Linked DNA regions of Saccharomyces cerevisiae S288C. The gene in region 1 interacts genetically with each later gene. Each region holds a gene or a part of one and is shown in the gene's direction. Other genes may lie near its edges.

Evidence for each region. A genetic interaction does not mean that the proteins touch.
Region 2: mutations in SCS2 (region 1) and ICE2 together harm fitness more than expected from each alone (negative genetic interaction), as found in Saccharomyces cerevisiae (6 studies listed by BioGRID, with this or other methods).

What each region holds. Positions count from the first base shown.
Region 1 is NC_001137.3:398,492-403,043, forward strand, and holds SCS2 (phosphatidylinositol-binding protein SCS2), read left to right. Parts: upstream 1-2,643; coding exon 2,644-3,378; downstream 3,379-4,552. Other genes in the region: osmosensor SHO1, read right to left, coding at 1-564; AVT6 (aspartate/glutamate transporter), read right to left, coding at 1,005-2,351; YER121W (uncharacterized protein), read left to right, coding at 3,884-4,228; GLO3 (ADP-ribosylation factor GTPase-activating protein), read right to left, coding at 4,380-4,552. UniProt on the Saccharomyces cerevisiae protein: Acts as an endoplasmic reticulum (ER) membrane anchor for cytoplasmic proteins via binding to the FFAT motif of targeted proteins. Regulates phospholipid biosynthesis by modulating the subcellular localization of the transcriptional repressor OPI1.
Region 2 is NC_001141.2:192,088-195,570, forward strand, and holds ICE2 (Ice2p), read left to right. Parts: upstream 1-1,507; coding exon 1,508-2,983; downstream 2,984-3,483. Other genes in the region: rRNA-binding ribosome biosynthesis protein UTP25, read right to left, coding at 1-1,108.

The sequences.
Region 1 (4,552 bases):
ATTTTGGTAAGGCGTTGTGTTCCTATTGCCTCTTCGACGAGCTCTATGAAGAGAATTCTCTAATGGCGAAGGCCTGATACCCTTAATGGAAAACGAATCAATCCATCTATTGGTTGGGGAAGCATTATCACCGCCGTAGTACAGAATCCAGATTAAATTTATGATGGAAAGTAAGATGACACCTGCTGAAGCAGCAGCTTTCTTGGGACCATCCGCATACACTAAATTCGTTGCACTGTTTGTATTATACACAAATGCCACTGCAATAGATGTGGTGATGAAGATTCTGTAATGATCGACTAAATCAAAACAATAGAACAGCATTAAAGAACAAATAATTAGAAATTGGTATACTATACCCCACCAAGTAAAACGTGGGAAGGATTCATTGGTGGATGCAGATGAGATGGAGCCCCCGATGGCGATGACCCACGATACAATTGCCAAAGAAATTGATGATATAGCGAAAGGATCGGCATAAAATTTTTTCATTTTAAAAGAATGGTCGGTAGCCATACGTGAAGGTTTACGAGGAGTTGGTCTTATCTTTGATGATATTGACATATTTTGAAAACGTGATTTTTGGTGTTTCTGAAAAGATGGCGTTGATCTATAATGTCCAATGTTGTTTTCAAATTATTGGGTTGGCTACTGTTAATAACACGCCCTTTCTTTTAGCGATTCTGTTGAGCAAAGAAAGCTGATATGATAGACAATGATACCTCACTGAAAACGAGGCTCAATGACTTTATTCGTGTTCCTGTGTTCTTTGCATATTTCAGCAATCGCTGAAATTTTTATAATACGTATGAAGCAAAAGCCCGACTCCGAAAGCTGTTGTGTGTAAATAGATTGAACGCGTTGGGAATGTAAAACGCGATTAAGAATTTCTGATTTAACGCAGGTGCTAGGTTATTAATAGTTTCTTACGCGGATATGTAGGTTCAAGGGTCTATGTACGTATGGAGGAATAGCAAAAAAAGAATGAGTATACTCTTGCTTATTTAGTTTAGCTTCAAAGCTGCGGTCAGGCAGGTGATCATGATTATTAGCCCCCAGATAAACAAGAGAAGACCTGTGTATTTGAAAATCTTTGTCGTCAATGGCACGGCTGTCTTGTGCTCAGTTCCTATAAGCTTGTAGCCAAAGAGCCCGGGCAGAATGAAAGAAATAGAAGTGGAGCCTGTGGCCCCAACAATGGCCAGTACACGGGCCAAGGAGGAAACCGAAATGGCGACAAGATATGATGCAACTAAAATGCTGCACGTTATAACAATAAAGCTCTTGCCTCTCAATGGAGTCTCCTTAGGCTGATAAATAGATTCTTCTTCAATTACCTCATTGAGGTCAAGGCTACTGTCGCGAATCAACGGAGAACTTTCGGTAGCAACAGTGGGTTCATCCGCCGATGTAGCACTTATACTTACATTTTCCTCGGCGAAGTGTTGCAAAATCTGATGGATTGAAGCTCTTGCAGGATGACACTGTAGTGGGAACGCCAGCATCACCAACAACACAATCGCTATTCTGCCGATGGTGCTCGAGACCGCTTGCGGGTACAGCATGATAATGTTTCCAATGATGTTGTCGCCGAATGTCAGGTATCCAGCACAGCCGATCGCAATATATAAGATGAGAGCCAAAGATATTGCTATCAGTGGAATCTTCATCACATGCTCGAACCGGCTTGACCTCTGCTCATTGATTATTGAAAACATATTGTGGTGACATGTGTAGGCAAAGACAAAAATTGGAAGAGTGTTTAGCACGTTCAAATCATGCGATTGTGGTGGCAGGAGGTAGGAGATCCGGCCTTTCAAGCGAAGAATCTCATCTGATGGTGCTACATAGTGCAACAACACCAAAACACACAAGTACGCTACAGAAGAGATGGCCACCATGGAAGCGTACCTCAACGAATTCAACTTCTTCAGAAAAGACAGCGGGGCCACGAAAAAAAGCATGATCAGTGAAATTTGCACGTTCCTGTTCAACAGCCAAGCATTTCTGGTCCACACAGACATTATTTGGGGCATCAGATCCCCAACTACAATCATATAAGAGACGCCCACACCAAAACACTTGATAGCGATCGCTAGGTCAAACACAATACCTAGATTTGGGTTAATCAACCGCGTCAGAGCACTGAACGAGGCCCTCCCCTGTGGTACGTATTTAGCTACACGAGCTTGTATGAACAAGCTTTGCATAGCGCACGCCCCACACAGCACTATCATTATCACTCCAGGAATTAATCCAAACGGCTTGAATGCGTACGGCATGGCCAGGATACCAGCACCGCACGCCGTGTGTAAAAGTGTCAGCACACCTGATCTAATACTAGCTACCATATGATGCACGATTCCTTTCTATGGTTATTGAGCTGTGAAACTAACCCGTCGTTCGACCATTGTTGTTCTATATACTTCTAGTTGCTGTATAGATAAGCTCTCCGATCCCCTAAACGTGCGTGGTGATCTTACTCTTTCGCCCTCGCTTTTTTTTTTTCGCTTGTTGTTTTCGCAAGGTGAATAGAATGGTTTTAGTAGCAAAGTGCATTGTTTATTGTGTGGTGTGGTTTGACGCACATTCTGTGTTAATAGTGTAGCAGAAGGGTATTCTACAATCTCCGCGAACCTAAGTATGTCTGCTGTTGAAATTTCCCCTGACGTGTTGGTGTATAAGTCTCCATTAACGGAGCAATCGACAGAATACGCTAGTATTTCCAACAATTCAGACCAAACCATTGCATTTAAGGTCAAGACCACAGCCCCAAAGTTTTACTGCGTGAGACCAAACGCCGCAGTTGTTGCTCCAGGTGAAACAATCCAGGTTCAAGTTATCTTCCTGGGTTTGACTGAAGAGCCTGCCGCAGACTTTAAGTGCCGTGACAAGTTCCTGGTTATCACGTTGCCTTCTCCTTACGACCTCAATGGCAAGGCTGTTGCAGATGTTTGGTCCGACTTGGAGGCTGAGTTCAAGCAACAGGCTATCTCTAAAAAGATAAAAGTCAAATATTTGATAAGTCCAGATGTACACCCAGCACAGAACCAAAATATACAGGAAAACAAGGAAACTGTTGAACCAGTAGTCCAAGACAGTGAGCCAAAGGAAGTGCCTGCTGTGGTAAACGAAAAGGAGGTCCCTGCTGAACCGGAAACTCAACCTCCCGTCCAAGTAAAGAAAGAAGAGGTCCCACCTGTCGTTCAGAAAACCGTTCCTCATGAAAATGAGAAGCAAACGTCCAACAGCACTCCGGCCCCACAGAACCAGATAAAGGAAGCCGCAACCGTACCTGCAGAAAATGAATCATCCAGCATGGGTATATTCATATTGGTTGCACTCCTTATCTTGGTTTTAGGATGGTTCTACAGATAATAGGGAGATTGAGGATATAGCTGTATTCTAAATATATATTTATATATGTGTGTGTTTTGCCCTTTCCTTCCTTTCAGTCTTTATTTTACTTTGTTTTTCTACAATCTTTTTTTATTGTTTCCTTCTGTAGCCTTTACAATACTAGAACAAGGAACTAAAAGATCATACTTTCCTAACTTTTTTATATGTTTTATTTTTTAAATAGGAGAATAATCGATAACTATACCACTGTTGTAACATATTACTTGTTTAATTTATTCATGTTCGGTTTCCCTAGTGTAGTAGGCGCTATCTTGGGCAAATAACTATCCGTTATTAACCATAACAATGCGGGGTCTACTAAATGAGGGGAGGGTCTTGGATGCACATTAACGAAGATCTTGCGAGGGGGTCGCGCCTAAAAGGTCCATAAATAAATGAATACATAAACAGCCACCTACTTTCAGTTTGTTTTTTGCTAGGTCTCATAGTGAACGAGGGACTCACATATTGACAATATAGTAACATGGGCTTATCGCGCTGGCACGACAAGAATTCAAGGCCAGCAGAGGAAAAGAGCGAAGAAATGCAACAGGATGCGCACTACTACGCCCTTGCGGCAAGTGATAGTTTAAATGCAAGTGTTTCTAACGAATATGGTAATCAAGTAATGAACTCGTTTTGGAAAGTGGGTATAGACTCTCCCTATGTGGACGATGAAGCAATTAGAAACAGAGATGTCGAAAATAACTTACCTTCTTTAAAGCAAAGTGTTTATAATGCTAATGAACCAAATGCTACCTCGTCTGCATTTTCAACCGCTTCATACGCACATGAAACTTTCGATTTTAGAAACCTTAAACTAAGATAAGGGGGGATGAAGAATAAGAATAAACGCACGTACAATGCATATACAACCGTTTCTATGTACCATAAATATAATTATCATATAATGAAAAATGAGAATAAAAAACAATGATAACAATGAAAAAAAAAAAATTCAATTAAAGAGAAAATTAAACTTATTTTCTTAAGTAGTCCCTTAAATAACTACCGAGTTTTTCAGCACCCTGTTCTACAACGTCTCTCAACATCTGCAATTCATCATCTGCGGAGGCATTAAAATCGATGAAACCGTTATTAGAATTACGGCCATCAAAATTCCCTGCTCCACTTCCACTACTATTGATGGGAT
Region 2 (3,483 bases), on another chromosome or scaffold:
TTGGTTTGGACTTTGGAGGTAAGGAGTCGTCACGGAATTGGTCGTAGAACTTTCCCTTCTTGTCAACCTGATCTATACCAGATTTTGAAATTATCTTATCTACAACGCGGTACGCCACCTCTCTAGTAGGGACTACAATTAACACTTTTGGTCTTGTAAAACCTTGATCTAGGTGTTCAGTGTCTGGGTTATCCTGTAATCTTTGATTATTTTTCAAGATTCTATCTCTTGTCTTGTAGATGTGATTCAAAACATGCAAAGCATATAAATCTCTGTACTCGTCTTCGTCCTTTTCGTAGGAGTCATACTCGTATAATATGTCTTTATACTGAAACATGGGGTCTACTAATTTTTTTTGCAAAGCAGTCAATGGATCAGTTTTTTTATCCAATAGTCCATTTTGCACTTTTAGCCTTTGTTTCAAAAAGTATGAATATATAGATGATGACCTGTACGGACTTTCCACCAATGCTTCCTCACCAATTACTACCGGTTTAGCATATATATATGATTCACTGTCACTTAGTGAGCCCTTTACGGATTTGTATTTTACACTTTTGGTCTTGAAAGCATTCGACAACTTATCAACGAATTTCTCCGGAACTTGGTTGAAATGAGACTCGAAAGGATCTTGCTCATCTTCACTGTCTATATCTTTTTCGTCTCCACTGCTGTCATCGTCGTTATCATCCTCGTGATTACCCAAAAGGCCATTCTCTATCTCCAATTGATCATCCACTGGTCCATGTTCTGTATTTTCGTGCTCATCCTCCCCAACTTCGGCAGGAGCTTTGTTACTCTCGTCAGCCTCTCGCCTTCTTCTTTTTGGCTCTGGATGTTCAGATTTGAGAATCGTCAATAAAGCGTCATAAACTTTTTCCTTTTTACCCTCTTCATCCTCAATATCGAAATCATCGCCACTGTCGACATCGGACACTTCATCCTCATCGGATCTATGGTCAATATCTTCTGCTACGTCCTCTAATGTTTCTGTGCTTCCGCCTTCAGTTCTGGCAGAAGATCTTTTAATCTTCCTCAGTTCTTGTCTTCCTCTTTTCCGATAGCCACGGAAATTATCATTCTTTTCCCTCACAGAACTGTCACTCATTACAATTTGGTCACTTCGCAATTATACCACCGTCTCACTGAACCAATGCAGTTTATTCCCTGTATTATATTATTGCAAAATATGCGATGAGCTAAATTATAGTAGTATTGCGAAGGAAAAATTTTTCAGATCATGGTACACGAGGAATCGCATCAGCTTGAAGCGAAGCAAGGGACTGGAGCGGTTACTGGTTTCGGAGAGATGATTGATGAGAAGATGAACATAGGTAAAGGATCGAGGTGTAGTGATACTGGAAGGGCTGTGCGTAAAGTGTTGGTGGATCTTATAGTATTCGTGAAGCTTCTTTTTCCGTTTTGCTCCCCTCAGCCCATCGCGTAATTGCTTAGATCTATTAGAGAGGTGCTGTTTGTGGCCGATCACGCTAAAGATTAGGCAACGATGACCAGTTTGTCCAAAAGCTTCATGCAGAGTGGACGAATCTGCGCAGCATGTTTCTATCTGTTATTCACACTACTTTCAATTCCAATCTCGTTTAAAGTTGGTGGTTTGGAATGCGGGCTTTCCTTCACGGTGACACTGTTCACTTTATATTTCATAACTACGACTCTTAACGTGTTGGCAAGACGACATGGAGGAAGACTATACATTTTTTTTACCAACTGTCTGTATTACTCACAACATTTTATCATTGCATCTTTGCTATACCTGTTTTTGTCTGGATTTTCTAATGATGAGTTGGGAAACGTTCTGAAAAATAAATATAATGAGTCGGAGTCGTTCCTGGAAGCTTTGAAAAATAGCTTGAATTCCAATCAAATTAACTACGTCTTATATTATTACTACTATCGATTTGTTGTACAACCGTGGCAATTCGTGCTTACCAAGTCCACACCTTTTTTTACTCTATCGGAAGGTTTTTTCACTATTTTAGCCATTCAGGCCGTCGGGGAAACTAATAGATGGTTATCAAATGACTTGAATTCAAACACGTGGATTATTTCCTCATTGTTAACCTCCGGAGGTGTGATTACCGCATCGCTGTACTATTTGTATCGGATTTATGTCACCCCCATATGGCCGTTATCCATCCAAACGGCGTCCTTATTAGGACTTGTTTTGTCTATGGTATGTGGACTGGGGTTGTATGGTATTGTGAGTCAAAAAGGATCCGTCATAGAGAGCTCTTTATTTTTTGCGTATATTGTTCGTTGTATTTATGAAATTTCCCCCAAATTAGCTACTACCGCGACTGATGAAATTTTAAATTTGTTCAAAGACGTCTGGCAGAAACATCAAAGAAATCTGCCCACAGCTGACAATCTTTTGTGCTACTTTCATAATGTCATATTGAAAAATGCAGAGGTGTTATGGGGGTCCTTTATTCCTAGAGGAAGAAAGAAAACCGGTGATTTTCATGATAAACTCATTAGCATTCTATCATTCGAAAAAGTATCCTTGATATCTAAACCATTTTGGAAATTTTTCAAGAATTTCACCTTTAGTGTTCCGCTATCCATTAATGAATTTTGTCAAGTTACAATTAAGATGGCAAGCGAATCAGTTTCCCCAGCTATAGTAATCAATTTATGCTTTAGAGTTCTGATGTTTTACTCGGCAACGAGGATTATTCCAGCATTACAAAGAAAAAATGACAAACAGTTGCGCAAGAGTCGCAGGATCATGAAGGGATTGTATTGGTACAGTCCTTGCATATTAATTGCTATGTATACTCACCTGATTTTACAATATTCAGGTGAGCTAAAGAAAGACCTGTGCATATGGGGTTGCAGTGAAAAGTGGTTTGGCGTAGATCAACCAGAAATTATAGTAGATTCATGGGGATTTTGGAACTGGTGCAACATTTTCTGTACTATTTTGGTATACGCTACAGAATTAATAGGTTCTGGTAGTTGAAGCTGATGCATTGTCAAAAGAGCCGCATTACCAGCTTTGCCAAATACGCGAAGACAAAAAGGAAGGTGAAATACCAACTGACTTATAACTAAGTGATAGATGATATCTGTTTTAAGTGCCATTCCTGAACCATTTTTACATTTGGTTAGTTTCTTTTTTTGTTATTATTTGCATTAGTCCCTTGCACGTTCATAGTGAAAATCCCTTACGCTCACCACTATTTTCTAATAAATACAATGAACATTTTAACTCATACTCTAATATGTAGACACATAAATATATAAATATATAACATTTCCCTGAAATACTACTTTTATTACGTGGTAGATTTTAACCTGAAGCCGATGCAGATTATTCTAGATAATTTTATTTCGGTTTTTTTTTTTCTGTTTTGCTAATTTCCAAGAACCCTTTTTCTTCTCTTATCACAACGATAAGAGGTACTTAAGATGATCTTCATCCTTGGATTATTATTCTTTCCCTCTTAGAAAAGTGAATAA